Linked DNA regions of Astyanax mexicanus. The protein of the gene in region 1 binds, or shares a complex with, the protein of each later gene. Links are inferred from orthologs where the notes say so. Each region holds a gene or a part of one and is shown in the gene's direction. Other genes may lie near its edges.

The links.
Region 2: cep290 (region 1) and b9d1 share a complex: the UniProt entries of both Homo sapiens proteins name them as parts of the tectonic-like complex. The link is inferred for Astyanax mexicanus from reciprocal best matches to the Homo sapiens genes CEP290 and B9D1.
Region 3: cep290 (region 1) and tctn1 share a complex: the UniProt entries of both Homo sapiens proteins name them as parts of the tectonic-like complex. The link is inferred for Astyanax mexicanus from reciprocal best matches to the Homo sapiens genes CEP290 and TCTN1.
Region 4: cep290 (region 1) and tmem17 share a complex: the UniProt entries of both Homo sapiens proteins name them as parts of the tectonic-like complex. The link is inferred for Astyanax mexicanus from reciprocal best matches to the Homo sapiens genes CEP290 and TMEM17.

Annotation. Positions count from the first base shown.
Region 1 is NC_064417.1:17,363,100-17,370,250, reverse strand, and holds the start of cep290 (centrosomal protein of 290 kDa), read left to right. Parts: upstream 1-4,128; 5' UTR 4,129-4,166; coding exon 4,167-4,262; intron 4,263-7,151. Other genes in the region: protein O-mannosyl-transferase TMTC3, read right to left, coding at 562-780, 1,989-2,177. UniProt on the Homo sapiens protein: Involved in early and late steps in cilia formation. Its association with CCP110 is required for inhibition of primary cilia formation by CCP110.
Region 2 is NC_064410.1:53,741,987-53,748,966, reverse strand, and holds the start of b9d1 (B9 domain-containing protein 1), read left to right. Parts: upstream 1-3,966; 5' UTR 3,967-4,118; coding exon 4,119-4,181; intron 4,182-4,309; coding exon 4,310-4,378; intron 4,379-4,925; coding exon 4,926-5,037; intron 5,038-6,157; coding exon 6,158-6,254; intron 6,255-6,361; coding exon 6,362-6,424; intron 6,425-6,980. UniProt on the Homo sapiens protein: Component of the tectonic-like complex, a complex localized at the transition zone of primary cilia and acting as a barrier that prevents diffusion of transmembrane proteins between the cilia and plasma membranes.
Region 3 is NC_064427.1:20,757,931-20,764,966, forward strand, and holds the start of tctn1 (tectonic-1), read left to right. Parts: upstream 1-4,019; 5' UTR 4,020-4,065; coding exon 4,066-4,390; intron 4,391-5,322; coding exon 5,323-5,440; intron 5,441-6,259; coding exon 6,260-6,393; intron 6,394-7,036. Other genes in the region: pptc7b (protein phosphatase PTC7 homolog), read right to left, coding at 2,479-2,680. UniProt on the Homo sapiens protein: Component of the tectonic-like complex, a complex localized at the transition zone of primary cilia and acting as a barrier that prevents diffusion of transmembrane proteins between the cilia and plasma membranes.
Region 4 is NC_064409.1:54,423,325-54,430,764, reverse strand, and holds tmem17 (transmembrane protein 17B), read left to right. Parts: upstream 1-4,765; 5' UTR 4,766-4,833; coding exon 4,834-4,948; intron 4,949-5,304; coding exon 5,305-5,408; intron 5,409-5,519; coding exon 5,520-5,633; intron 5,634-6,389; coding exon 6,390-6,533; intron 6,534-6,637; coding exon 6,638-6,736; 3' UTR 6,737-6,915; downstream 6,916-7,440. Other genes in the region: slc15a5 (solute carrier family 15 member 5), read left to right, coding at 1-6, 116-285, 837-1,057, 1,625-1,811, 1,894-2,082, 2,268-2,399, 2,508-2,616, 3,795-3,939. UniProt on the Homo sapiens protein: Transmembrane component of the tectonic-like complex, a complex localized at the transition zone of primary cilia and acting as a barrier that prevents diffusion of transmembrane proteins between the cilia and plasma membranes.

The DNA of each region.
Region 1 (7,151 bases):
CTGCTAAACGTGGCTGGCTAACAGTGCTAACAGGGGCTGGCTATGCTGCTAACCAGAGCTGGCTTACACTGCTAACCGGGGCTGATTAAACTGCTAACCCTGGCTGGCTATGCTCCTAACTGGGGCTGGCTATGCTCCTAACTGGGGCTGGCACTCAACTTTGGACAAAATACCAGATCTCTAAGCTTACTGTTAATCAATGGAAGCGCTTCGTTCACCCATACATTTTTTTTAAAAGAGAAATCCATGTAGATTAACATTCAACGTGGGTGAGCTGAGAACATCATAAACAAGCAGGGCTTCAGGACCATCCATCCATCCATCCATCCATCCACCTACCTACCTTAAGAACTAAAAACTATATGTATAAAACACTTGGGGCACCTACAAACTACTTTTATTAGTGCTTTCATAACATCTCTTTATAACATCTCAAATACATTCACTTCTTAATAATACCACTCAGTCGACCGTGGAATATCTAAGAGCTCTTCAAAAATGTTTATAAAGATGCTTGATTTTGTACATACTGTACACACATATATTATTTTGTTTACTTACAGCCTCTGTGTGGACAGGGTGGACGGCAAACAAGAGTGCGGCCACCAGGCTGGTCTTGCGGTCCAGCAGCAGTCGGCAGAAGCGAAGGAAGAGCACACACACAGCCGCATGGAGAAGCACATTGAGCAAGTGGTAGGACAGAGGAGTCAGTTGACTTAGCAGGTAGTTGAGGCGGAAAGTGAGGACAGTGAGTGGTCTGTAAGATTTATGGCTCCTCTCCTGCACAGAAAGACGGCAAAGTCATATTCATCCATCCTCATAAGAATTGAAAAACCCTGCTCCTATAAATCATCTATATTAACTAGCGCCATTGTCAGATTTGCTCCAGAGGAAGACTGGTCGCAATAGCAATGTGCCTTGACTACAGGTACAGCCAGCAAGTAAATGTACACGCAGAAAGATCAATGAGGTGAAAAAGAATCCTAGAGTTTTAGCTGAAGACTTACAGAAATCTCTGGCACATGCTAACGTTTTTCACAGCAGATATCCCAAGAATATTGCTGAACTGAAACAGTTTTGTGAAGAGGAATGATCCAAAATTCCTGCTGACCATTGAGCAGGTCTAATCTGCAACTACAGGAAACGTTTGGTTGAGGTTTCTGCTGCCAAAGGCGGGTCAACCAGTTATTAAATCCAAAAATTCACATACTTGTTGTGTTCAATAAAACCATGCAACCATATATATATTTTTGTGATATTAGTTTAAGCAGACTGTGTTTTTATATTGTTGTGACTAACATAAGGATTAAAACACATTTAATGACCCATTTATGCAGAAATCCAAGTAATCCCAACTGTAACATCCATTCCAATATAGTTATTTAGTGTGTAAATTATTGCAATACTGCTTACACCCGACACAGTCACACTGTTATCTGCAAAATATTCAGATGTGAAATGTGATCAGTACTGTCCAGTACCATTTGTTAATTTTTTTTGTCATTACTAAAAGTCGCCTTCCGCTAAAATCCACTTTTTCTTGTTCTTCGTAAAATACTATAAGTCTCTCTGAGTTGTATATGAATGCTGCATATGAAACAATTCTTCAACCTCCATTGTCTGCAGTAGCTAGTAAAAAAATAATGTTCAGAATTGGCATTGATGACATTTCTTTGAGCTGCGGGGCCGCTTGTCTGACGTTAAGTAAAGTTTAAGGGTTAACTTTATACAGCACTCAGTGCTGTATCTTTACAACTAAGGCTGTATCTCTGAAAAAAAATTATTCTTTGAGTTTTAAAGCTGTAAAATTGACTGTGGGGCAAAGCCAGGTATCATTCTCTGCTGTAGTGCTGTTATTCATACTAGAGACTAGACAATTTAAAAGTAATGAAAAAAAACAATAGAATGAGACCTTTAAATAAATTCCTGAACAGCATGGCTGAACTGCATCATGTAACTCAGTGTCACAGTGCACTGTAGGACCCTACCTCTGACATGGGCGTCCCCCAAAAATCATTGAGGAAGAGGTTCTGAATAGGCGTCGAGGGACGAAGGTCCTTGTTATCCAAAATAGCAGAAACATCATCAAACACAAAACCACAAAGCAGACTGTTCCAGAAGCACCCCAACACCAGTCCAGTCAACAGGAAAGCCTCCTTCCACAACACAACAGCCATCACTAACGTGAGTCCTCATTGAGCACTGTAAAAAAAAAAATCCAATTCCACATCAGAGATTAATGTTCAGATTCAGATTACTGTTAATATCAGTCATGCCATTAAAGCTATGGTTCACAAAAAAAATCTCATTTTCAAATATAACATCAAAAAATGTTTGCTAATGCTTATTCCCATGACTAAAGGCACACAAAGCATGTTCTTTTTAAAGAGTTCTTATTGTGAACTATTTATCGACACAGACAACTTCCAGAATATCTCAAAATACATGTTACAAATAAAAATTCAAAGGCAATGTTAAAGACATGGATCCACATAGAGGCTGGGAAAAGATGTTAAGAAAAACTGAAATGGTTTAGCTCCAACACCTAAAACTCATTTCAATAATGGTGAAGGGAGGATCAAGGCTTGGGGCTGCTTTGCTGCCTTGGGTCTTGGATACCTTGTATCAATAAGGGCACAGCTGGTCGCTGCACTAATAGCTTCCCTAATGCTGCCATTCTTTTTAGCAGCTATCTACCTTAACTACATTACCCACTAACGCACCACCTGCTTAATCAAAACAGCTCCAGATCACAACTCACTAGAGGTGGGTAACCCAGGTCCAGAAAGTAAAATCCAACCCAGAGTTTTGTAGCAGAGCCGCCCAGGGCAAACCCTGGGTTGTATTTTTACTTTCTGGACCTGGGTTACCCACCTCTACAACTCAACCCTTCTGTAGAAAAGCTGTGCAGCAAAGCTTACTGTAGCCTCTGTTACTGAATCAGCTTCTGTTACTGTATTATCTTCTGTTACTGTATTAGCTACGATACAGCTACTGCTGCTAACGGTGCTGAAAAAGGAAGCTAGCTAATCCTTGCTCCTAACAGCAGCATATGAGATCTATAAAACACATTATACAAGTTACAGACCCACCTTGTCATGGCTTTGATGAGATAAACCGTAAACAGAGCGTGTGTGTTTGTGTGTTTTTGCGTTTTAAGCCAAGAGCAGCCTTTATTCGGGAACAGCAGTCGAGATTTTTTTTAATGCTAATGGGCTTTTTACAAGTTCCGGGTCGCAATGCTTAAGAGTTCAGATGAGGAACATGAATTCATATTCTGACCTTATTTCTTTATTTATTTACAAAGAATATATTATTTAAAAACACGTGCCCGTAATTTCAAATATCATGACGTTTTTTTATAGAATGAATTGTTATTTTAATTAATAATATTTAGAGGACTTTTATTATGAAAACCTTTACACTCCAGAACGTTTGCTGATCTTAAATCATTGTCTTCTGCAGTTGAAGAACAGCAGCGCCATCCACCGATCCGCGTGATCTGTAGATTAGTAGTCCCCGACCCGCCCGCGGAGCGCCACTGAGCGGTAGCCTAGCAACAGCACAGAAAACGGGACTAGCCAGCCTGCTAATGCTAACAGTGCTAACGCCAACTAACTAGCTAGTACAGCCATAAAATGCAAGGCTAAAATGGGTAAAATATTTAGCTTTTTGGAGAATTTCAGACGTCAGAGGCTACAGCTGGCCATATTATTGGACTGTCTTAGATGGTAAACTTAACTGATAACTTATCTAAGTTATAACTAAGTTATATATTCAACTCTGTTTTCTCATCCAGTAACGTTAGGTTAGGTTACATTAGCCTGGTTAGCAAGTTAAATAGAAAGCTAAAACCGAGATAAGCTACTAAAAGTCAGCTTGTTTTTTTTTTTTGTTTTTGTTTTTTTGTCGTTGATCTTCTTTAAACTCTCTTCTCGGGCGCATTGTTGTCCAGATAGCCAGCCGTTTCATTAACTGAAATGCCAGCTAAAGTACCGTAAATTAAACCAGTTTACCTGCAGGCAACGGTTCAGCAGGTAGTATTTAACACTGTTTCCGGATCCTCCACAGTAGCCCCAGTTTTACATGTTTAAAGTGACTGGTGTTGTAGTATAAAGGCTGTTTGGAGGCTGTGGACAGATTTTGGACACCAAACAAACCGCAAGATGCCTCCAACTACAGACTGGAAAACAGTGATGACTGTTGATCCTGATCTTCTGGGAAGCGAAGAGGAGGAAACCATCTGTGATATTATTCTGCAGGTAACGTTAAACTCTTAGCATACCGTAAACAGTAAAGTTTCAGTGATTGTAGACGGTATGTCATCTATCCTCAATGTTAAAATTTTGTTTAGATATACAGTGGCATGAAAAGTATTTGCTTTCTTTACAGATTTTTTTTTTGTTTTTGCATTTCTATCATACTTTATTTTTTTAAGATTATTGAACAAACATTAACATCATACAAAGATAATCTGAGTAAATATAAAAAACATATTTTAAATTATGATTTCAAAACCAATCTAGCTGTTTGCCCCCACCCAAATATCTTAAAAAAACGCACATTATGCTCAGATCTGGAAAAAAATATATCAAGAGTCATTGACATCTATCATTTAAGAAAAGGTTATAAAGTCATTTCTAAGGATTTGGGACTCCAGTGAACCACAGTGAGAGCTATTATTTACTAATGAAGAAAACATGGAACACTGGTGAACCTTCCCAGGAGTGACCAACCTACCTAGCTATACACAGTAGGTCACAGGCTGGTTCCATGCATACAGTCATTGGTTCCACCCCGGCTAGGTGTAACCCAGCCCCTTTACAATAACCACACCTTTTTGAATAGAGCTGAATAACGTTTTTTAAAACGAATTCTGTGGGGATATAAAAAATAGAATATAAGCAGAGGTTACACTAGCTGCTGCATTTAAATAAATGAGGTAGAATTACAGTATATTAAAAAATGTGATTGAAAGTTGTCTGTTTGCCACACAAACACAGCTTTCTGCAACCGAACAGCAGGGGGCGCCTGACCTGTGGTCACTTTTAAGAGAAGATGCTCTGTCCAGCTAGACACAGTCTATGGGCATAAAAAAAAAAACAATGTGGCCTGTCTCACATTTGTCAAAAACATCTTGATGATCCCTAGGACTTTGGGTAAATATTATTTCGAAATGATGTGACAAAAGTGGAAATTGTGAGTGTTTGTCCCATTACATCTGGCATAAAACTAACGCATAATTGCAGAACAAGACCATACAGAAAAATCATACTAACGTTATATGTAAAACATGGTGGTGGTAGTGGGATGATCTTGGGCTGCTTTGCTCCTTCTGGGTCTGAAAAAAACATGCTGTAAAAGATGGAACCAGAGGGGTATTCCAGAAAGGGGGTTAAGTGACAAAACCGGATAAGTTAGTAAACTTAGAGTTCACGGAAACTCAGGGTTTTCTGTTCCAGAAAGAGAGCTAAGAGAGAACCTGAGTCAGTTACTGTAGCAACTTGCGTTCTGAAGCTAACCTGCTCGCTGGCAGGTTAACTTACTCCGAACGCAGGGTTACGCCCACTTTTCTTATACAAACGGATCCAGTTGATATTGAAGCGCAAATTATTCACAGAGCTCTCTGTTGTGAACGAGTAATTTCACCCAGATTAGACGTGTTTTCAGTTTCTCCTCAAACGTTACCGTTTTTCCTCGCAGTCAATTTCATACCTAAACAATATTTTAAAGCCTCACATTTAAAATATCACGCATCGTGGATCAGCCCTCACATCTTTGCAGACTTTATGCAGTGCTCTCAGTTTCTTTGCCAATGGGCTTTTTTTGTACAGTGCAGGCAGCAAAGTGCAGCCTGCAGTGCAGCAAAGTATGCCTAGCTTTAAAACAGTTGTTGTCCAGTTTTGTGGTGTTCCCTGGGCATAAGCCTTTAATGAACATTAAAGAGGAATTCCACAGAATTGCAGGTTTGTCTTTATAACAAAGATTACAAAATTATCAAACAAATCGGAAGTGAAAGATAAATAGCTCTGCAAAATTTTATATTTATATTTATTATATATTTAAATTTTGTAATTTAGGAGTCATTGGATGCATGGATGGAACCCACATTCAAATTAAAGCCCCTGCCGAAAATGAAGGAGATTATGTAAACAGAAAATCCTTCCACAGCATTAATATACAAGTACTGATCATAAATTTACTACTTTTTAAAAAACAAAAAGGACTTATATTTAATACATTATAAAAACTTATTTTCTCCTCCATTAAGACCATACACAGGAAATTTGGCAGTGTTAAATCAACACTGTTAGTGTTAAATCAACACTGTTAGTGTTAAATCAACACTGTTAGTGTTAAATAAACACTTATTAGTGTTAAATCAACACTTCTTAGTGTGGATTTAACACTAACAGTGTTGATTTAACACTGCCAAATTTCCTGTGTATGTGATGCTACCAACATTATTACTAATTTTGAAGCCAAATGGCCAGGCTCTGTACATGATGCAAGGATATTTCGAGAGTCTGCACTATACAGTACATTTCATCAGGGTTTGCCTATGTTTTCGATTTATTTATTTTCTGATTTTGTCCTTATTCTTGATAAAAACAAATATACAATCACAGCAACTACTCCCACCTTTAATGTATATTCTAGCAACTCAATTTCCAGTCTTGTCTGTTTTGTTTTAGGTGAACCTAGTATAAATCTTTAACAGCCATCTTGAAAGAAAGAGACGAAAATACCATGTTATGCTCAAATAAATAGCTTTGTGTCCAGAATGGTTTTGATATTTGTTGAGACATAAGCATTCTCACTGTTCCAAGCTGAGCTTTGGAGATGGATGGTTCCTCATCAGATTCCTGATCACCAGTCACATTCTGTTATCGGACAGTCACACACATTACCATGTTTAATCAAATGATATAGCAGAGATTGTTTCATCATCATCATCCTGCAACAGGAATATATATTTTTTTGTTAAACACAGATATTTATTCACATCAAGTAAGATTTGGGAACATTAAGATAACTTACAACTGTAGGAAGCTGATTTAGTTGCATCATTTTAGTAGCATTAAACATGTTAAGAATATGAATGCAGTTCACAGTTTATGAACTATAAACTAATAAATGTAATGAACATG
Region 2 (6,980 bases), on another chromosome or scaffold:
TGGCATCTGAAGGTCAAACAGCTACTTAGAGCGCTTCAGGGTTGTGAATTGAGTCTTCAGGACGTTAGCCAGTCTACAGCCACTTCATACAGAGTATGGAAACTGATTTGTCCATAAACATCAGAAAAACAAACACATGACTAATGCTTTCATCTATATCCTTAAAGATCATCATCAGGATCATTTCTGTCTGCACTTACTCTAAGATGTAAATAAACAGAGCAACTCAGCAGGACAGCGATACAGAACAAATCACCAGGGAAAGTCTTAGTACTCAGCTAGAATGCATCAGTTAAAGAATATCGACCAATCGACACTTTTATTTGCTGACACCACCCTTTTAATCAATGCATTCAGCTGAGCTCTGGTGCAGATAAATATACACCTACTATAGGCATTGTGCCTAATGACAGGTATAGGTATTTGTTCTGTGGAATGATGGTGCTCCATTCAATACTTTTGGGATGAGTAAGGGAGTATATCTATGGGTGAATAGATGTTTCTCTCTTAGAAATGCCCTCATCATTTCCACATTAATGCTAATTAGTACAGGCGTCTGTGGTCTGGTGTAACAGAGCTGGGGATCTGGTGAAACATAGGACGTCCCAGCCATACCCTCCTCAAAACAGCCTCTGGGCACATGGCATTTCCTTGACATTTGATGCAGTGTGTGGACAGTTGGTGGATGTTTTGGTGACACTGGAAAATGTCAGCTGGTTAGAAATGTCAAATTAAATGGATCTGGCTCTCTAATGGTGTTGAGATTTGGGGTATGGAAGTAGGTCTGCAGACCCCATTATCATCAGGTCATTTCTGGGCACTCTACAACTTCTGACCACGTCTTACATGAATCTCCCCCACAGGTTTGAGAGGAGGGGGAAGGAGTAATGAACTGCACTTCAAAGCCACTCTGATGAGGAAAGAGGTGAGAAAAAAATCCCACCCCACAGAAATGACTCTCGCTGCCTTTATCCTGTATCTAAAAAAAGGTAGATGGAGGTTCCGCAGAGGACTTTTAAGTAGTGCAGACAAGTCTGTTGCTATAAATAGTGGCTGAGAGTCAAAGAAGCTGGTCCCAGAGAGGGACGGTTGGCGAAAGACGAGGAGAGCTCAAACTGGGACGCGCTTGAGCCACACAGTGACGATCAAGCCTGGTTCGCTTACTGTACACTGTTAAAATTATAAGATCTTTGAGATACTTTTTGGGGTTCTTCCATTTGGAAGTGTGGAGGAACCCCCTTAAGGTGCTTTGAGGAACCTTCAAGAAAAGGTTTTTAGAGAAAGCCTTTCTAAAAGGCTTAAATTACCTTAAGGGTTTCCTCCCAAATATTCCACCCAAATAAGAGTATAGACTGTAGTTGGGTGCTGGTACAGTGTTTAGGTAACACATAAACCCAAGACTCAAAAATTATTGATTTTTGCAGCACGGTAACATAAACACTGTCTCTCTGAACCTGCCTCTGTCTCTGTTTCTCTTTTACTCAGGTTTTGAAGCAGCACATGCTCTGTTTGTCTGGCAGACAGAGAAAAGCAGCTTTTAAAGAAGCCTGTGCAGTGGGTGATCGATACAGAGAGTGAACAGGCAAAGAAATATGTTTTTGATGTTGTTTATCTCTAGGTATGAGATAAGCCACTCTCCACTATTATTGTGGAATCACCGAGCTTATTGACATCCTCATATCTTCTTTTTGCCAGATCACCAACAACAAGGCATTCAAATTGTTGTAAGATTTCATAAGTGGAGTTATGAATATAAATTAATTTTAGGAGATTGACCCACACCCTTACTCCTCCCACTCTCCACCCTCTATAAACCCTCACTTCCTCTCTACCTGGATGTCGAACAACTTCACACTCAACTCCTCCCCATCTTCCTCCTTCTTTCCTTCAAGTGTTGAACAGCTCCAAGTGTCACTTTTGGCATCTCCAAGTGTTGTTTTGGGCATTTCCAAGTGTCCTTTTGGGGATCTCCAAGTGTCCCTTTGGGCATCTTCGAGTGTCCCTTTGGGCGTCTCCATGTGTCCCTTTGGACATTTCCAAGTGTCATGTTGGACATCTCTCAGTGTCTTTTTGGGCATCTCCAAATGTACTTTTGGGCATCTCCAAGTGTCCTTTTGGGCATCTCCAAGTGTCCCTTTGGGCATCTCCAAGTGTCCCTTTGGGCATCTCCAAGAGTAATTTGGGCATTTCCAAAAGTCTTTTTAGATATCTACAAATGTCCTTTTGGACATCTCCAAGTGTCCCTTTGGGCATCTCCAAGTGTCTGTTTGGGGATCTCCAAGTGTTTTTTTTGGGCATCTCCAAGTGTTTTTTTGGGCATCTCCAAGTGTCTTTTTGGGCATCTCCAAGTGTCCTTTTGGCATCTCTGAATGTCTTTTTGAGTATCTCCAACAGACATTTTGGCATCTCCAAGTGTCCGAGTGTCTTTTTACGCATCTGTCCTTTTGGCCATTTCCAAGTTTCCTTTGTGCATATCCAAGTGTTGTTTTGGGCATCTCCAAGTGTCCCTTTGGGCATCTCCAAGTGTCTTTTGGGCATCTCCAAGCGTCTTTTGGGCATCTCCAAGCGTCTTTTTGGGCATCTCCAAGTGTCCCTTTGGGCATCTCCAAGTGTCTTTTGGGCATCTCCAAGCGTCTTTTGGGCATCTCCAAGTGTCTTTTGGGCATCTCCAAGCGTCTTTTTGGGCATCTCCAAGTGTCCCTTTGGGCATCTCCAAGTTTCCTTTGGGCATCTCCAAGTGTCCCTTTGGGCATCTCCAAGTGTCCATTTGAGCATCTCCAAGTGTCCTTTTGGGCATCTCCAAGTTTTCTTTTGGGCATCTCCAAGTGTCCCTTTGGGCATCTCCAAGTGTCTTTTGGGCATCTCCAAGCGTCTTTTTGGGCATCTCCAAGTGTCTTTTGGGCATCTCCAAGCGTCTTTTTGGGCATCTCCAAGTGTCCCTTTGGGCATCTCCAAGTTTCCTTTGGGCATCTCCAAGTTTTCTTTTGGGCATCTCCAAGTGTCCCTTTGGGCATCTCCAAGTGTCCTTTTGGGCATCTCCAAGTTTTCTTTTGGGCATCTCCAAGTGTCCCTTTGGGCATCTCCAAGTGTCTTTTGGGCATCTCCAAGCGTCTTTTTGGGCATCTCCAAGTGTCCCTTTGGGCATCTCCAAGTGTCTTTTTGGGCATCTCCAAGTGTCTTTTTGGGCATCTCCAAGTGTCTTTTGGGCATCTCCAAGCGTCTTTTTGGGCATCTCCAAGTGTCCCTTTGGGCATCTCCAAGTGTCTTTTTGGGCATCTCCAAGTGTCTTTTTGGGCATCTCCAAGCGTCTTTTTGGGCATCTCCAAGTGTCCCTTTGGGCATCTCCAAGTTTCCTTTGGGCATCTCCAAGTGTCCCTTTGGGCATCTCCAAGTGTCCATTTGAGCATCTCCAAGTGTCCTTTTGGGCATCTCCAAGTTTTCTTTTGGGCATCTCCAAGTGTCCCTTTGGGCATCTCCAAGTGTCTTTTTGGGCATATCCAAGTGTCTCTTTGGGGATCTCCAAGTGTCTCTTTGGGCATCTCTAAATGTCACTTTGGGCATCTCCAAGTGTCTTTTTGGGCATCTCTAAATGTTGTTTTGGGCATCTCCAAGTGTCTTTTTGAGCATCTCCAAGTGAGGTTTTTTTTTTAAATAAGAAAGGTAAAAATAAAACAAGGATGTATGAAGATCAAAAACAAGTTAATTGAGAAATACATTCAACACTGAATTACTAAACTAATTTATTGTTAAAATATAGAAAATTATTATATTATATAGTGTAATATTATTATATAATATTATTATATTATATTTTACTATATATTAATACATGTTGCGCATCAAAGGGTTAAAATAGGATCAGCATAAATTATGTTACTGTAATTTTGTTGTCAAATATCTCCATCTAGTGGCAGGACAGATGCATAAATCAAATCGCGTTTCATCTAGATTGGACCTCACAGGCCCCAGTAGTAAAGCCGTCGCTACTTAGCGGCTGGAGCGGCGTTAGCAACCAGCAGCCATTTCTGTAGTTATGTAAACAGCGGAGGAGAGAGGATCAGTTAATTTAATGAAACTAGGGATATATTAATATTTACTGTTTTATTAATGATCTGAACATGACCTCCCCAAACCCCTCCGTGTTCCTGCTGATGATCAGCGGGCAGATCGAGGGCGCGCAGGTAAATCTGAACTGAAAATAACGGATCTATAAATAGTGATTATCTAGTGATTAAACTCAGTTAAATAAAGGTAATAAAGTAACTAAAGCTGCTGCTGTTTATGTTTTAATCTCTTCATTTATTTCTAGTTTCCAGAATACGATGATTTATACTGTAAATACTGTTTTGTTTACGGACACGACTGGGCTCCAACTTCAGTAAGTAAAATCCAGATTTATCACTCTGTGCTTTTCTTTTTATCACGCAGCCCCTAAGGTGACATCATGTTGAAAACAAATGAACGACTTGTTAAGGCGTGGGAATGAGATCCTAATGATTGGCCACAACTGCGTGGGAGTAAGATAATTAAGTTAATTTAAGTTGTGGCTATTTAATTAACACGTACCACATTTTAGCTTCGTAGCCACGGATTAGGATCTCATTCCCACGCCTTAATAAGTTGTGGCCACGTCTTTTTTACATGATGTCACCAAGGGCTCCGTTTTATTATTTCCCCTCTCCTTTCTTAAATCCAGAATGTTAGCTATATTCATGTTGAATATTTAGCTAATGTTAATGTACACTACCAATGCAGCATACACTGTGCAGGTCAAGAGCTGTTTGAGCATCAAAGGCCAGCTCAGACTATGCCAAATCAGCTACCAGCAAAAGCTGGTCTTGAGCTGGAATCTTTGTTTCTATATGCTTGTCTTTATATTAATTTATTTATTGATGAAATAATTAAATACCTTTACCTTATTGCAGGGCTTAGAGGAGGGAATATCTCAGATAACATCGAAGGGCAGAGGTTCCACTCAGAGTCTGGTGTGGAACTTTCCTCTCGACATCACTTTCAAAAGCACCAACCCGTTTGGATGTATGTATTTCTATGTGTTACTAAATATAAGGATACAATTTGAAGTGTTTATTTGTTATATGTTGAACTTTAGAAATGAAAAAGGTTTCCAAGTATAGTTGGAATATACCTTTGCTTCTGTGCACAACCTGGATTTGAAATAAAGCAGTCAAGATGTTATTGAAGTGTAGATCCACTTGGATAATTTTTTACATAGTTCTTCCATTTCCCAGTTCGTCTCATTATGTAATTGGACCCACGTATATGTTTATATATATTTATCAGCTCCACTGATCATATAGAGCACCTTATAGTTATACAATTACTGTATTCCTTCCACAGGACCACCACAGAGGTCTTGCATCTGGGCTGCAATTGAAAAAAGGAAGACCAGTGAGTTTTTGGCTTTCTAGGTCACATGATATTGCGTTCAGTAGCTCCTCCATGTCCACTTGCTGTGGTGTTTACTTGGTTCTCCATGGAAACACGTGGCCAAAGTGTAATCATGGGTGCTTGGCAGTGGACAAATAGCTATTTTATTAAACGCGAGGAGACGAAACTCGGAGATGTGCGTCCAAATGGAACTAAAATTAGTGAAAAACAGCAGGTAATTCAGCCTGTAATTTTCTCAGAGGACGTCTGAGAAAAACACATGGTCGTTCCAGTCGGGAATAAAATCACAGAGGACCCCCAAAAAGGAGAAAATGAAGATCCCCATAAGGACAGCAGCGAGTGGAAATGGAGGAGCTACTGAACGTGATATCACGTGACCGAGAAGGCCTAAAAACCCAATCGTCCTCCTGTTTTTTCAATTGCAGTCCTGGCGCAAGAGTTTTATTACTGAATAGAAGGACAGTGAGTGAACACAGTGTTTAAAAACTCCAGCAGCACTGCTGTATCTGATTCACCCATACCAGCACAACATACAACAACCTCATACACCACCACCATGACCCACCACCCAAATGATACCTGCTCTGTGGTGGTCCTATGGTGACCTTCCGTTTTGACAAATTTTCAATTTCCATTTATTCTGTATATTGAAAAACAAGAATTTTTGTTATTTTAGTTGCACAATGTCTCTTGCATGCTCTTGTAATACATGCGACTGAGCTCCATTGTAACTGTGTTGATTTTATAGGGCCTCAGATTGTGGTTAGTGTCTATGGACCGGACACGTTTGGCAATGATGTTGTCAGAGGTTATGGAGCAGTACACATTCCCTTTACCCCAGGAAAGTAAGTGGGATGTTCATATTGGAACGTAATGCATGAATAGAGGAGTTTCATCTGTTTGCTTTATGTCTGTTCTGTTTAATTCACATATTAATAAACTCTTCCTGCAGACACACACGGACCATTCCAATGTTTGTTCCTGAATCCACGTCTAGACTGCAGAAATTCACAAGGTAGTAAAGCAACCAACAGTCTGATTACGATTTACATGAACTCTAGACATAAATTAAACACCATCTAAACTACCATGAATTAAACTATCATGTTTTTTGCAATACAAGGTGCACTTTAAATTCTTTAATTTTCCCCAAAATTCGGTGCATCTTATGTATAAATTCAGTTTGTAAGGAACAGTAAAGCCACTCCACTGAAGTGCAGCGTTTTAACAGATTTTCAGTGAAGTTTCTTCAGCACAGAGTCTGAAGCAGTATTAGCATTAGCAGCTAACTGCAGCACTAGCCCTTTTGCCGTTCAAAAGTGTGTATATGAGAATGTTTACCGTGTTAAAACAAGCTACGTGGGACAAACTGTTAGCTAATAGCACCCTGGCTTACTGGATCACTCAGGGTTTCTCAGTGTAGTGCTATTGGGTGGCATTTATTAGCGCTTAACGCTGCTAACTGTTGCTAGCACAGCTGCTAACCATGGCTAGCTCTGCTTCTGACTGCGCTGTTGAAAATATTGGAAATGTAAGCTTACAGTAAATAAATGGAAGCGCTTTACCTACCT
Region 3 (7,036 bases), on another chromosome or scaffold:
AGAACTAAAAAAAAGTGTGTTCACTGTTACCCCAGCATTGTAACATAAGGCAAATTAAATAAATTATATTTAATTACTTTAAGTCATGGTACAATGTGTTTGATACAAAACCTGTATCTTAATAATCAGATAATCAGACAGACAGACAAAATAGACTGGGGAAGCTGAACTGGGGGGTGGGGGGCCTTAAACAGCCGGCTTTTTCGTTCCCCCACATGGCTCCATAACAAAGGAAACTTGAGCCGGAAGCTACACAAAAGCCCCTTTTGTTCCTGACTGCATTTAAAGAAGCGCCAAGATAAAAGTCACCATTTTAGTTCTTATTCTGCTAAGTATTTGTACATATGTGCTTGTAAAATAATAATACGTATATGGAAAATATTTGCACATTAAAGATAATACTATAATACACATTATTTTTACCAGAAGTGGCAGAATAACTCCTATTCAGATACTTTGTCATGCATAATCCAATGATTTATGTTAAAACAATTGCTGCACTTTGTTCAATTAAACAGATTTTTACATTCTTTCTTATAAAATGTACAGTACAATCAGTGCTCTTTAATCAGTGATGACTCGATAAACATATTGTTGATACGATAAAAGAATGTATTGAGCGACCCTTTATTTCACTAATTGTATGCATGCATATGTGCTTGGTTTAATAAACATGTGGTTGTTTATTAATATAATAAAGGGGGGTTATTTATGCTTAATTTTGATCTTTGTTTTGTACTAATTCACATTAAAACATCCCTTTAAACAATCTAAGTTTGGACAGGATATGGCTGTATAATGGATAATGCGTCTACAATCTTAATAAAACGTCTGTACATATAATTATGTTTAAAGATGGTTTATGCTTTCCCTTGTTTTGTATTAATTCACCATAATACATAATTTTAAACTATATAAGTGGGATATGATGGGTCTGAATAAGATAAAAGGTGTCTATAATCTTTATAAAAAGGTCTGAACATGGAAATAAGCTCTTTTAAAGGCTCATTTCTTAATTCACGAGCAGCAGCTGGTGGATGTGCGCATGTGCGAGCCTGCAACGTGGTTGAGCTGTAATATGGCTGCCTCCATGCTCAACCATTCTGACCTTTACGATACAAAACACTGCAAAGCTCTTGATAAAAAGCAACCACGCGCTTCTACAAAGTTCGACTCGAAGATTGATAACGATATCTGAGCATGCATTTAGTTTTTAATCCGGTTTTAATAGTGGATACTCCTGTGCAATCCGGGTTATTAGCTGTGTTTACAAATGAAGTGAGTAGATATGATGCTGGTATAGCAGCTTAGATCATTAAAACTAATAAATACGCTGTTTAGCTGAGTGTTTCACTTTATTAAACTACCTAAATCTTAAAATTATCAAGCGTGTTCACGTTATTGTGGCCGCAGGGGCTCGTGCTGGATCTCTAGGTATCTAGGTGAAAGGTCACCTCCTACACAGGCTGCTCACTACACCCTATACACTGCACCCTGCACCCTCAGCCATCTGCTTGGGGATAGTTTTACCAAGATCACTAGAAACCTAGTTATCTGGCTACATCTTTTGTGAATAAACTTAAAAGGTGTATTAAATGGTTAAAACAAAAAAAAAGTAAGGTTATTTCAGGTGAGGGTGATTCCTGCACATACACAAACACACTGAAAACACACTGTGTGTGTATGTGTGTGTGCTAGAGTGTGTGTGTCTGTTTGTGGTGCAATGCAATGCTGGTGGCACTTTAACCCTGAAGGTCAATCATCATTCTGTGAATGACCTTAGCTATAATGGCTGTATCTGAATGCACTATAATACTATGCAAATATGCTTAATGTAGCTTAAATACCAGCTGTTTACAACTAAATATGACTCATTTTAATCAGTAAATGAGAGAGAAGTAAGGCCAGAGTTAGCTAACCTACTTCAAACAGTTACTGTTGTTTTTAGACAGAACAAACTATGTGTAGCTGTTAACCAACAACATTCTCTTAGAAAGCTCTAACATACAGTGTGTGCATTTACTCATTATGTTTTTGTGTTGTGTGTATATATATTTATATATATGTGCTAGTACTACGCACCCAATTTTTTGTTTGTTTGGTTTGTTTCCACTCATCTATACTATACTATTGTTGGGTATTGTTGATGTCACGTGACAATTAAGCTAGTTAATATGATTAAATTTTTTATTTTATTTTATTTAAGCTCGTCTAATTAACACACAGTAGAAGAAATTAAGGTAGCTAGACTACATATATGGTTCTAATCAGCAGACGATGAGAGAACTACCTGACAAAGCTACTGCTGAACCTGCCAATAAACAGCGTAGCTAATTGATTGACATTTGAGTTAATTAATGAATTAGGCTCACAGGTGAGTTAATTGATTGACAGGTAACAAACTAATAAAAGCTGTAGGTGTATAGGAACCTCTGGCAAGTTAAGTAGTTAAGTAAGCAATGAACGCAGTCCACCCACCCAGCACGTCCGCGGACCGGTGGCGGGCGATGAAGCACGCGTCGTCCCCGTAGCACATCCCTTTCTTCAGGATGCCCTTCCTAAAGTCCTTGCCGAAGCCGCAACTGGCCGTGATCAGGCTATAGTCGCGGCCGTCGGTCTGAGACAGTCCACCCAGCACGGCCCTGGCCACGATCCTCCCGTAGGAAAGCACGGACAACATCCCCGCTGTCTCCGCGACGCGCCGCTAACCGAGAGCCCGCGTCCACCGGCAGCCAGCCGCCGGCATAGAGCTCCGGAGCACAAGGTGGAGAGGCAGTCTGTGGAGGAGTCTGCTGCCTGGCTGACCCTCACTCAGCCCGGCTGAGAGACTCACAGCAGCCGCCTGGGAGCCTGGAGGTCTGTCCCCGTATCGTGTTACACCGACTCCGGCTCAGAGAAGTGGAGTCCACCCGCGCCCGTCCTCTACGGTGCTGTCCCGCTTCTGTACTGGTTCTGTCCGGTTCTCCGTTGGGTTTTAAACACTAGCCGGTCTCGCGGTGCTCCCCCACAACCGACATCTTCACGCGCCGCACTCTCGCGCAAACAAAACACCGCCGCGTTCAGGAGCAAAAGTACACGGGACATACGGGTACTCGCGTCACGTGGCTCCAGGCCATCAGAGCGTTTGGGGGCGTGTCAATAAAAAAAAACAAAAACAAAGAAACAATAAAACAATAGTAATATTATTTTAAATAATTTTTCTTTGAAGTTTGTAATATATTACTTTATTACTTTAATTTATAAATGAATACTGGTCATACAGATGTATTAGAGTCTTGCTCTTTGTTTCCTAGGGCCGTCCTGATGAGAGCCAGTTTCATCCTTCTAACGTTTTTGATGGTCGATTTTCGACTGCACTGGAGGATAAAACTTTTTCAGAATTTCTCGAAATTTTTCGGATTGACCGAACTCCATATTATGCAAAGAAATAGTCAAAAAGGGCTATTCACTGTGTACCAACTCTACCTCTTTACAACTGATGCTCTTAAACACATTAAGAGAGCAAGAAGTTCAAGTAATTAACATTTACAAGGCACAGCTGTTAACTGTAAGCCATCAAAAATGTTTGATGTTTACTATTAATTATTAGATTTTTTATTTGCTGATAAAAAGCAAATACACAGAATGTTAAAATTGTGAATATCTAGTGCTCTTTTACAATTACTTTAAAATTAATTATTATTTAATTATAACCATTATTTGTGTCCAGGTTTAGGAGTATTGAGAAAGGGGATGGGGTACTTTTATACAAAACAAAAGTCTCTTATTGTAACTCTATATTTAATAATATATAAATAAGATTTTACATGTTAACGCATAGGTAACGTATAGGTAAGTGTATATGTATACGTTTTTCTGTAATAGATCTCCTTTTTTCCTGGGTTTTAAGGTTTGATTTTTTTGTAATAATAATATGTGTAGCATTTAGCCAAATGAAAATAGTTTTTCATTTTTGTCCATTATATGGAATAAAACATAAAAATTGGCTTTATTACAAAATAAAAGTCCTATTATTCATTTATTTCAGCTTCCTGGAGACGGGCTGCGCTGTGTCGGTTGTTAAGCATGGCTGCGCTGCTCCGGGTATTAATTTTGGCCGGTTTGTTTTGCGGGTTCTGGGCGAAATCTGGCGGATTTAACAGCTCAGTTTTAGACCAGAACCGGACCAGGTTCGGCTGGGATGAGTCTGATAATGTAACGGAGGAGACCGGGGAAGAAAACTACACTTTAGCTCCGGTATCGATGCCCGCAGCGTCTCCAGTCGAGCCCAGCACCGCCTTTCCCGAAACGGAGATTCCAGAACCCACAGCCGAGCCGGACCTAGCCCGGGCCGGCACCGCAGCCCTGCCCTTACCGCTGTCTGGATCCCTACCCGCACCCGTTACCCGAGGTACACACGTATGGGGGAATAAATAGAAGAAAACTAGCTTTTTAGCTAACAGAGAACGTTATGAGAAAGTTTAGCAACGTTTTGAAAAGGTTTCAGGAAAGTTAAGTTAGCCTGTAACGTTTCAGATGTAATATTCCAGGAACGTTCTAATAACGTGTAACATAATAAGTAAATGGTTTGCACCACAACGTGTTAGAACATTTAGCAACGTTTATAAATGTTGAAACGTTGAAAAATAGCATTCCTAAAATATGACTGTAACGTTCAAAAAACGTTATATTAACCAGCATTTTCAGCTGGTTTATCTAGCTAACTAACTGTATTAAACCTTGAGATCTACATACGCAGCCGTAGCCAACTCCGTTCTAACGTCTAAACAACGTTAATGTTGTAAACATAAGCCGACTTCTTTTTAAACAAAGTGATTATAGCAGCTAATTTACGGATCCAAATCCGTAATCAAGACATTGTTCAAGTTTCAGTCCCTGATCTACAACTCCATCCCCAAACGTGTGTGTGTTTCCCAAAGAGTGTAAAAGAGTTTAGAGCTGGGGTGTTAACAACAGTTAGCACCTGTTCGAGCAGGAAAACCTCAGACATTAAAGGAACTGGTCTGATAAAGTGTTAAAGTGAGGGTGTCAGAGCTGTAAATCACCTAAATGTGTGAACTGGTGAACAGTACTGAAGAACAGTAACAGGTGTAAATCAGGGTACTACATAATGACTTAAACAGAATCTGTCTTAAAGGGAAAATCCACCAGTTTTCCTTCTTCTTCGCACAATTCAGTGTTTAAGATAAGTACATAAATAGTTGTAGAAGAATAGCCCATCTTGAATTGGATTTGAAAGAAATGTATAATATATAATTTAGGTTTATTTAACAATGAAGCTTTTCTTTTTAATCTTAATCTGCTGTTGTTGGTTTGGTGCAGTATCAGATCTGTGCCCGTGTGATGTTCAGAGTGATCAGTGTGAGGTGAACTGCTGCTGTGACCCGGACTGCTCTCAGGAACGGCCCCTGTTCACCCGCTGCTCCGTCCAGAAAGTCACGTACGTTAATTTTCTGCTTTGTAGATTAATACTTAAGTTGTCCAAACTATGAGTAAAACTTAATGGAATTATTTAGTAACCCAAAAAGTGTTAAACAATCCAGAATATGTTTTATATTTTACATTCTTCAAAGTAGCACCTCTTGCTTAGATGGCAATTTTGCACATCTCTGCTGGATTTTCTCAGTCAGCTTTATGAGGTAGAGTCACCTAGAATTCAGGCTTTCAGTTAACAGCTGTGCTGAGTTAAGAGTCAAGAGTTAATTACTTGAATTCCTTGCCTCTTAATGTGTTTGAGAGCATCAGATGTAAAGTTGTGAAGAGGTAGAGTTACAGGTATACAGTGAGTAATGTTCTAATCCCTACTATGAGAAGCAAGAACTAAACTAAGTAAAGAAACCAATGAAAAAGGTCATTCAACTGATCTTAAGGAAAAAAAGTATTCCAAGGGCAGTTACTGCAAAGACAGTCAAGTGTTATGATGATTAAATTGACTTTCATCAGGGCCGCCCCAGAAAAGGAAGAGTAAGAGTTTCCTCTGTTGTACAGGATAAGTTCATCAGAGTTACCAGCCTCAGAAACCACAAGTTAACAAACAGCTCCCCAGATAAGAGAATCTAAATGCTTCTTCACAGAGTATTTTGGTTTGTTTAACACTTTTAAGTTACTACATGATTCCTTATGTGTTCCTTCATAGTCTGGATCACTTGAAAAAATAAATATATAAATAAAAACATAGAATGAGAAGATGTGTCCACACTTTTGACTGGTACTGAATAACTGATTATATTTATATGAACTTTGATGTGTGTTTGGTCAGTGGAGACCCCAGACTGTGCACTCAGGATGCAGCTCTGTACTCCCTCCGCACCACAGCAGAGGGGTTTTCAGCAGTGCAGACGTCCGTCCAGCGCCAGATCAACCCTGATGTTTTCTGTATACAGACCGCTAACTGTAAGTACATCTCAACCAACCAGAGACACGGTGTATGGATAACCAGTTACAGAATAGATAGTTGTACTATATACAAAACATGTCAGTTATTGCTTGGTTTAATAGTTTTAAATATATCTTTATTTGATTGATTTGCTAATAAGTCATATGAATTCAAGATCCGTATTAAAAATGATTCTATATTATACAATATGTTACATTACATTGCATTTAGTGGATGCTTTCATCCGAAATGACTTACAAATAATGATGTACATTTAGCAGTAGAAGACATAGAAGTCCAAGGCAAAAAAAAAAAAAAACTTTAGCGGCTTTTGATTAATTCTTGTAGCAACAAAATATAACAATGCCAATTAATTTTAATTATGATTAATAATTTAATAATTTTATAAGTTATTTTGCAACTGATAAAAAAAAAAAGAGCTGGTAACTCTGATTAACTTTTCCTGTACAACAGAGGTCCTGATGAGTGCCAGTTTCACCATTATAACGTTTTTGATGGTCTTTGGGTGACTGCACTTGAGGATTATTCAATGTTCGAACTGAAATGTTTTGGATTGGCTGACGTTCATTATTTATTTATTTATTTATTTTTCTTTACTTAGTTAAGAAGTTCTTGCCATAATATGGCAAATAGAGCTAT
Region 4 (7,440 bases), on another chromosome or scaffold:
TAATTGGTAAGACATTAAATCATTAACTATAGATAATTAAGAGCAAATCAAAATGCTTGTACATCTCTGGAAGGTTATGCTATTGATGTAAAACTGATGGTATTTATAACCACAGGCTCTACTGGCTTGTGAATCTCAATTCTACAGTTGTGTTCCTGGGGATCTCCTATATTCAGCAGTCTGTGGGTAAAAACCTGGGCTTTCTCATTCCCTTCACCTCTGTTCTATTGGCTCTTGTTGCGATACACATGGCACGCAACAATCTCATCTTTCATCCAAAGAAAGGTAATGGACTAACAAACACATACAGATAAACAGATATACAAATATACACAAATAAAATAAATGTGCTGTTTATATAATTCTGCATAGATCAAAACTTCTGCAATAAATTATATGCAATAGATGGTATTCATTGGAGTCCTGTTTCTGCCAGAACATGTCGTTTGGTCAGACTGAAACAGCCAAACCAGCTATGAAACAAGTGGTCATGTGTTTAAATTGAAGGCCGTTGGGCTCTAGAGCAACAGACCAATTAGAAACTAGAAATTAGGTTTCCTTACATTGTTATGTACATTGATTTCAACAAGTTTTTATATTTAATCACACAAGGGCTCTTTCCCATTTTGTGTCTTCACAGCATTTACAATGAACGCTAATGCTGCCACTCAGTATACTGCCACTGGGCATAATCACACAGACTCTCCCCAACTGTGATATCATATGTGTACCCTCTATATATAGATGACACTGAATTTCACATAACAGTATTTGATCATTGTGTCTTCTTCTCTTCCTTCATTCCATTGACCTTTCATGTGTGGGAAAACACACAGCCAGTTTGTTGCTGACCACACTGGGTGTGTTCCTAAACTCCTTAAAAATGTCCTGCCTCCATTATCGTCATTTGAGTGGAGACGTGAATAATTGGCTGGACCGTGCCAAGGAGAACAATGGAGGACGCTACAGTGAGACCAGTGTTGAAAATGTTAAGATCCTGGTTAAGCTTTTTCCTCTTTTTGGACTGCAGCTGCTCTACCGGGCTTGTATAACCCAAGTAAGTATATATGCGAAACAAAATTTTCTGTTAATGTTTGTTACACAATAAAAAGGTGTTTGTACGATTTGACCTAAACTTCCTATAATTGCACCTATAAAATACAAAATAAGTGGACAAAAGTACTAAAACCCCTGCTCCTGTCCAGGGAAATCTATTAGATTTTGGAGCATTGCTGTGAGGATTTGATTGCACTTATACCCCTCCAGTCCACTACTGGCATTAGGCATAGTGCCAATAGATTCACATTTAGCTGCTTTGGAAAAATTCCTATACTATTGGTAGCACTCAGGGACTAGACAAGCAGTTTATATATGTCCATTTGTACATTTGTGTCAGCAATAGCTGCAGAAGGGGTGTCCACAAACATTCAGACATATCGTTTCCACCACTTGTACATAAACTGATCTTATACATAATGTAATGATGAACATTTAATCTTCAATTATTATTATTATTATTATTATTATTATTATAATTCATATTATCTCTGTTTAGGTATTATCTCTGAGCGCAGATGTCCATTCCACAGTTGTATAACCAATAACATAATTTGCATCTTCACAGATTCCATCAGGATACTACCTCCAGACCATGCATTCAAATCTGAACTTCAATGGTTTCCTCCTTCCTATAGCAGCTATGAATGTGATCAGTATCCTGCCATTGCTAATTTTAGCACCACTACTGGAATTTTTTGGCACCTGTTATCAGTCTTTGAAGAAAACACCTCCTTCTCCAGCCAAATTCATAAGTATGCATGTCCAATGAATTATAAGTAAGTGTGACAGGTATGGAGTGTAGTAAGCTCTACTTTGTGACATCTTTTCTTGCAGCAGCGGGACATGCCTGTGCAGCTCTGTCTGCACTAGCTGCAGGGATTACTGAGATCCACAGGAAAGACTTCTCTCAGGTGGAGCAGACACTGTCAGGAACAGTACTACAGGTGTCCTCAATGGCCTGTTTTCAACTTGCACCTCAGTATGTCTTACTGGGTATAGCAGAAGCATTTGTCACACCAGCATGTAAGTATGCATTTTAATAATGTGCAAAACATTAAACACTAGGTCCTATTACTGATTTCCAAAAGATTCACAGATTATTATAAATAGACCCAAACTGTCTAGCTGAAAGCAGCTCATCTCTACTATGTCACTGATATCCTTGATTCATGTAATTCATGCTTTTTTTCTAATCCTTTTACTTTTAGGCTCCCTCATCTCTTTCTGTATGACTCCTAGTAACCTCAGAGGCATCTCCCTACACTTCCTCACTCTCTTCTATGGAGGAGGATGCTTTCTGGGTGCTGTTCTGACTCAGTTCTTTTATCTTGTTTCTGGGGGTAAGGCTTTCTCAGCATTTTGTTAACACAAAGCAAAAACTCGGGGGCAATGGTTCATCAGCCACTGCTAATAAAGAATCATTTTCATTTGATCATTTCTGCCTTTAGGGAACTTCTATCCAAATACACTCAGCGACGGCAATCTGGAGAGATTTTTCTTCACTTTGGCAATTCTGATGACCATAAATACCCTGCTGTTTTGGAGATTATCTTGCAGGTAGGCTACAAATTCATATTTTGTTGTATCATAGGAGCCCTTAGTGTACACTGGAAACACATTATCAATACCAGAGTTTGTTCATTCTGACCTATAAGGTATGAAATGCATCAGGAGGTCTACTTAAAGCAGCATTAGTAACATAGTATTTTTAGTCATTGGCTTAACCTAAAGGTGAATAATCCATTATGAGATACTGAACCATCACTTAAAGTTGTAGTAGCATGTGAACTGAGTAGTACTATTACAGGATTTTACACAAATATGTGTCCTGCTCCCTTCACCAAAGATACATAGTGATACCATTTGCTGAGCCTGGATTAGCAAAAATATGAACAAAAGTCTCAAAAAGATAGCAGTGTTGTACTCTGTTGTTAAATCCCACTGTTCTCACTGCATAAAAAGTAAAGTTTTGTTTTATTGTTTTATTCAGATTTAATACATATAATAGTGTTTTATCTATGACAGATGTTATTTATTGTAAATTATTTAATTTAAACAATTCAAATATATCCCCTTGCATACAGTATAACAATACATCTATGTACTGAATTGTAACCCCTGTATCGTGATACGTATGGTCTCTGCATGTTCTTTACAGCCCTAATTATCACAACAACAATTAATTTAGAGCAGAATTAATGCAGCTTAGTAGACCTGGCATACATGGACAAATAAGCAAAAAGTATGTTTTGCAATCTTTTTAAGCAGGATTGAAAAAGTGTGGTACTGTATGAGCTATACAGCTTTAGTGGTTTGGCTGTGGGAGTTAAATCCTTGCTCCAGTCTCTCTGTGTTTTCCATATGAACCCTCCTGTGTTTTTTCCTATCTCCCAAAAACATACCAGTAGGTGGGTAGGCTATTCTAAATTACAGCTAGATATGAGTAAATGGAGTGTGTGTAGTACCCTGAGTTACACTGGCAACTTCTCTAGTAAGTATTCCTGCCTTGCACTCAAAAATTCCGCCCTCACCATGACGAGTGAATGAAATGGGGAAATGGGTCCTTAACACATCTGATCTACCTAAAACATGAACATAAAAATGTATGTAAGGTATGTCAAGTTTTAAGACAGAAAATGTAGACTTGTAGGTTGATACACAGAAGCATGGTTGTGCAACTAATTCTGACAGTATTGTGTTGATACTGCACATTGTTTTTTTGTTGTGTTGTACAGGTACACAGACCTGAGTGCTGAACTGTGTAAAGAAGTAAGACAGAGTCACCTGGCTGAGAAGCTCCTGCAGCATAAATCTTGTCTCCGATTCTACGACACTGTGGATTACACTGGAACATCAGCATCCTTGGAAATGATCCTCTGACTCCTGCATGATGATGGTCAAGCCCCAAGATGCTGGCGTCACACAAACATGAAAGACTTAATACTGGCATACATAATTTAGGATTTTGCTTCCTTTTTCCTCAAAACTGTGCTAGTGAATTGGTTAATGTAACTGAGCCATTTTAAATCTACAATAAAGTTATTTTGTAATATGACTTTTATGAGGAGATTCTTCTATCTTATTGTTCTTATTTATTTAGGTTTTTAAAAGCCATCGTATGTAAGCTAACTAGGTTCATGAACAGTGGTGGACAATAGAGAAGTAGCCTGTGTATTTTGTCACTGTACTATTTCCTTTGGTTACCTTTGGTTTATATGTGCAAAGCAAACTCACCAATCAGGGTAGAGCATGCACTTTATTATGTTTTGACCTGTTGGCCATGGCTACTTAGTGCCAGCTTAAAGTCAATGCAGTGGTGTGAAATTTTGGGAGTGTCTCTGCCTACATGAATGATGGAATATATGGAATATATTGATGTAATATATTAAATATTAGTAAATATAGTAAAGGAAAACTCATCTGTGAACTTGAGTTTTAAAGGAATTGTTTAAATCTGTTTTATGTTTTTTTTTACCTTTATCTCTACCTTAAAGGAGACATTTGGTGTGAAATAGACTTGGAGTGTAGTGAAACATGATTACAAGTAATTGGATTATATTCCAGAGCTTTACAATTTGGTAAAGTAAAAAAAACTCAACATTTGTAAATTGGTTTTAGACTGACTTTTGTCTGGATATGTTTGTCGGACCTGGCAACCCTGATTGCAGAGCTACAGCAAGTACAGCGGTTCCCTGCTGAACACGCCCACAGCTGTTGCTAGGAGATGATGTTCAGCAGTTAGCGTTAGCGTCAGGCTGAGATGTGTGCTCCATCATGGATCTACCGGAGCCCATAAGAAGACGTTTGGGGGATTTTTCCAGAACTGTTTTCGTGGATCAGACATTTTCTAAACTTACCCCTGAGGATCATGTCAAATTCCTGAATCAGAGTGAGTCTGTCCTGATATCCAACTGTGAGCTAGCTGGGTTACATCTCATGCGTGCTAACTAGCTAACCGCTAAAACAATAACATCAGCTAGGTTAGCGTTAGCTTTGGCAAAGAAGCTGCAACTAAACTTCTAAAAAGGAAAATGAACCTCACTAACGTTATCTGGCGTGCAAAGCTGAACGCACATGAGCTACTGTGTATTTATTGTCGTGTTTTAATTGGCTAAACCAGCTTAGCTAGCGTTATCTAATTAATTAACTAGCTTACAGTTCAGTGTAGTAACCTAACGTTAGCTGTTAAATGTGGTAGACTAGACACTCAGTTCTCCCCACTCTTATCATGTATTCACTATACAGACAGAGAAGTCGTGTCCAGTTTGCCGCTTCAGATGTCCCTTTTCTTCAACCTATGGTTCTTTCCTCTGTGGTGGATCAGTGAAGTGGTGATGCTGCAACTCAAAGTAAGTAATCTAGCTAGGTTAACTAACGCTAGTTTGGTAACTGTCTGACCTGGATGTATGTAGTAACTAACCTAAGTTAGTGAAGGTAGCTTACCTTGTATTCTGTTTTAGTACCCAGCCCTTCCAGACTACTACAAGTTCATCTTAATTACCGTCCTGATTTTAATGACCCTCATCGAGGGTATCAGACTCTACCTGGGTTACGCTGGGAACCTGCAAGAAAAGGTAAAGACTTCTCTAATGTAATATCCATACGCATCTTTATTGAGAATCAATGTCAAATCTGGTTTATTGTCAGATCACATTAGGTGTGCAGGTAAGTTAAAAAAAACTTAAGACCACAATAGCTATATACAAAAAATATATATATACACGCAACATACATTGAACATAATTTTTTTTATGAATTATTAAATTTATTTTATACATTGTAAATTAATGTTGAAGGCATTTAGGGACACACAATGAATTATGTAGTGGAAAAAAGGGGTTTGGCCTCCACAATCCCCTATCCTAAACCCAACTGAGATGGGTGATTTGGGATGAGCTGGAGAAAACGATTCCAGGTAATACTACCTAATGAAGCCACGGAGAATATACCAAGAGTGTCCAAATATATCCTCAAAGCTAAATAATAATTGTGACTACTAAAGTAGCCTAAAATATATTCTGGTTTGTTTCACATTTTTTGTTTGCAAAATAACTCCACATCTTCCTGTATAGCTTTAATGTCTTCAATGTTAAATTTACAATGTAAAAAAAACATAAAAAGAAAGTTAACACATTGAATAAGATGTGTGTCCAAACTTCCTGACTGGTACTGAATATAAACTATATACATGTGTAACATTACTCTTCACATATAGACAATAAATAAAATGTGAAATCTAAATGTATGTAACAGCATTAGTGGAGAGAGTAAATAAAATGCAGGAGCTTTTTGTTTGGCAGGTAATAATCAAACATTGTTTCTCTTTGCAGGTTCCCGAACTGGCTGGATTTTGGCTTCTAAGTCTCCTTCTTCAGTTTCCATTGACTCTCTTCCTGCTTTTTAATGAAGCTATACTCATTCAACCTTTGGAAAGAGGAGTGCATATCATTCTCGCTCTATTTATTTTAGCAGAGGTATGGGCAGCACTCTCATGGGCATCCTTTAATTCAATTCATCCTTTTTTTAATTAATTTTTACTCATTTGTGTTTGATGTTTTACCCCAAATATCATTCACAGGCTCTCTCTGGTTTTGTTGCCCTTCGTGCAATGGTCAGGAACACCGAAAGCCGCTTCCATCTTCGGCAGTTTAATGGAATTCAAGAACTTAGAGCATAACGAATGCTTCTAAATCTGAAGATCTGCACACGTTTAAAGAACCAAAGTGACCATAAATAGCATTGGTGGGAAATATTTCGGATCATTCTCTAACAATTTTTTTACCAATTATTTTTGTCATAGTATTTTTTTGTAATTATTTGTATATATTTTTTTATTTAAAAATATATTAAAAAGTACACATTGTCTGTCTTACTTCATATAATATGAAAATAAAAATAGATGCCTAGATTCAGAAAGGATATACAAATAATGGAAGATGGAAAGGTTGCATCTAATGTTTTAAGTATATTAAGCATAAATACATTTCTTCACAATATGTTCTGTCCATTATGAGAAAACACAGCAGTCACGTCACATCAGTGTTTTTTATTAAAATAGCTGAAAAATACATAATTGTCTCAAAAAGATGGTAAAATATGAAACCTGTCTACAGCTGAACAAAGACACAATAGATGTTTCTGTACTTCATGGCCTACATTCATAACCTGGCCTGCATCATTTTTGTGTATGTTCCTTTTTTAGGTTAAGTTTGTTTAGATAATTTTAAGACTCTACTTAGTCAATAGTAAACACTGAGCAAATTCGACAAATATCAAATCGGTTGTGTTTAACTAGTAACAACTAGTTATATTTGCCAATATATGATATCTTTGTGTTATCAGAAATTATGTAAGCAGTGAAAGTGATTACCTGTCATCTGT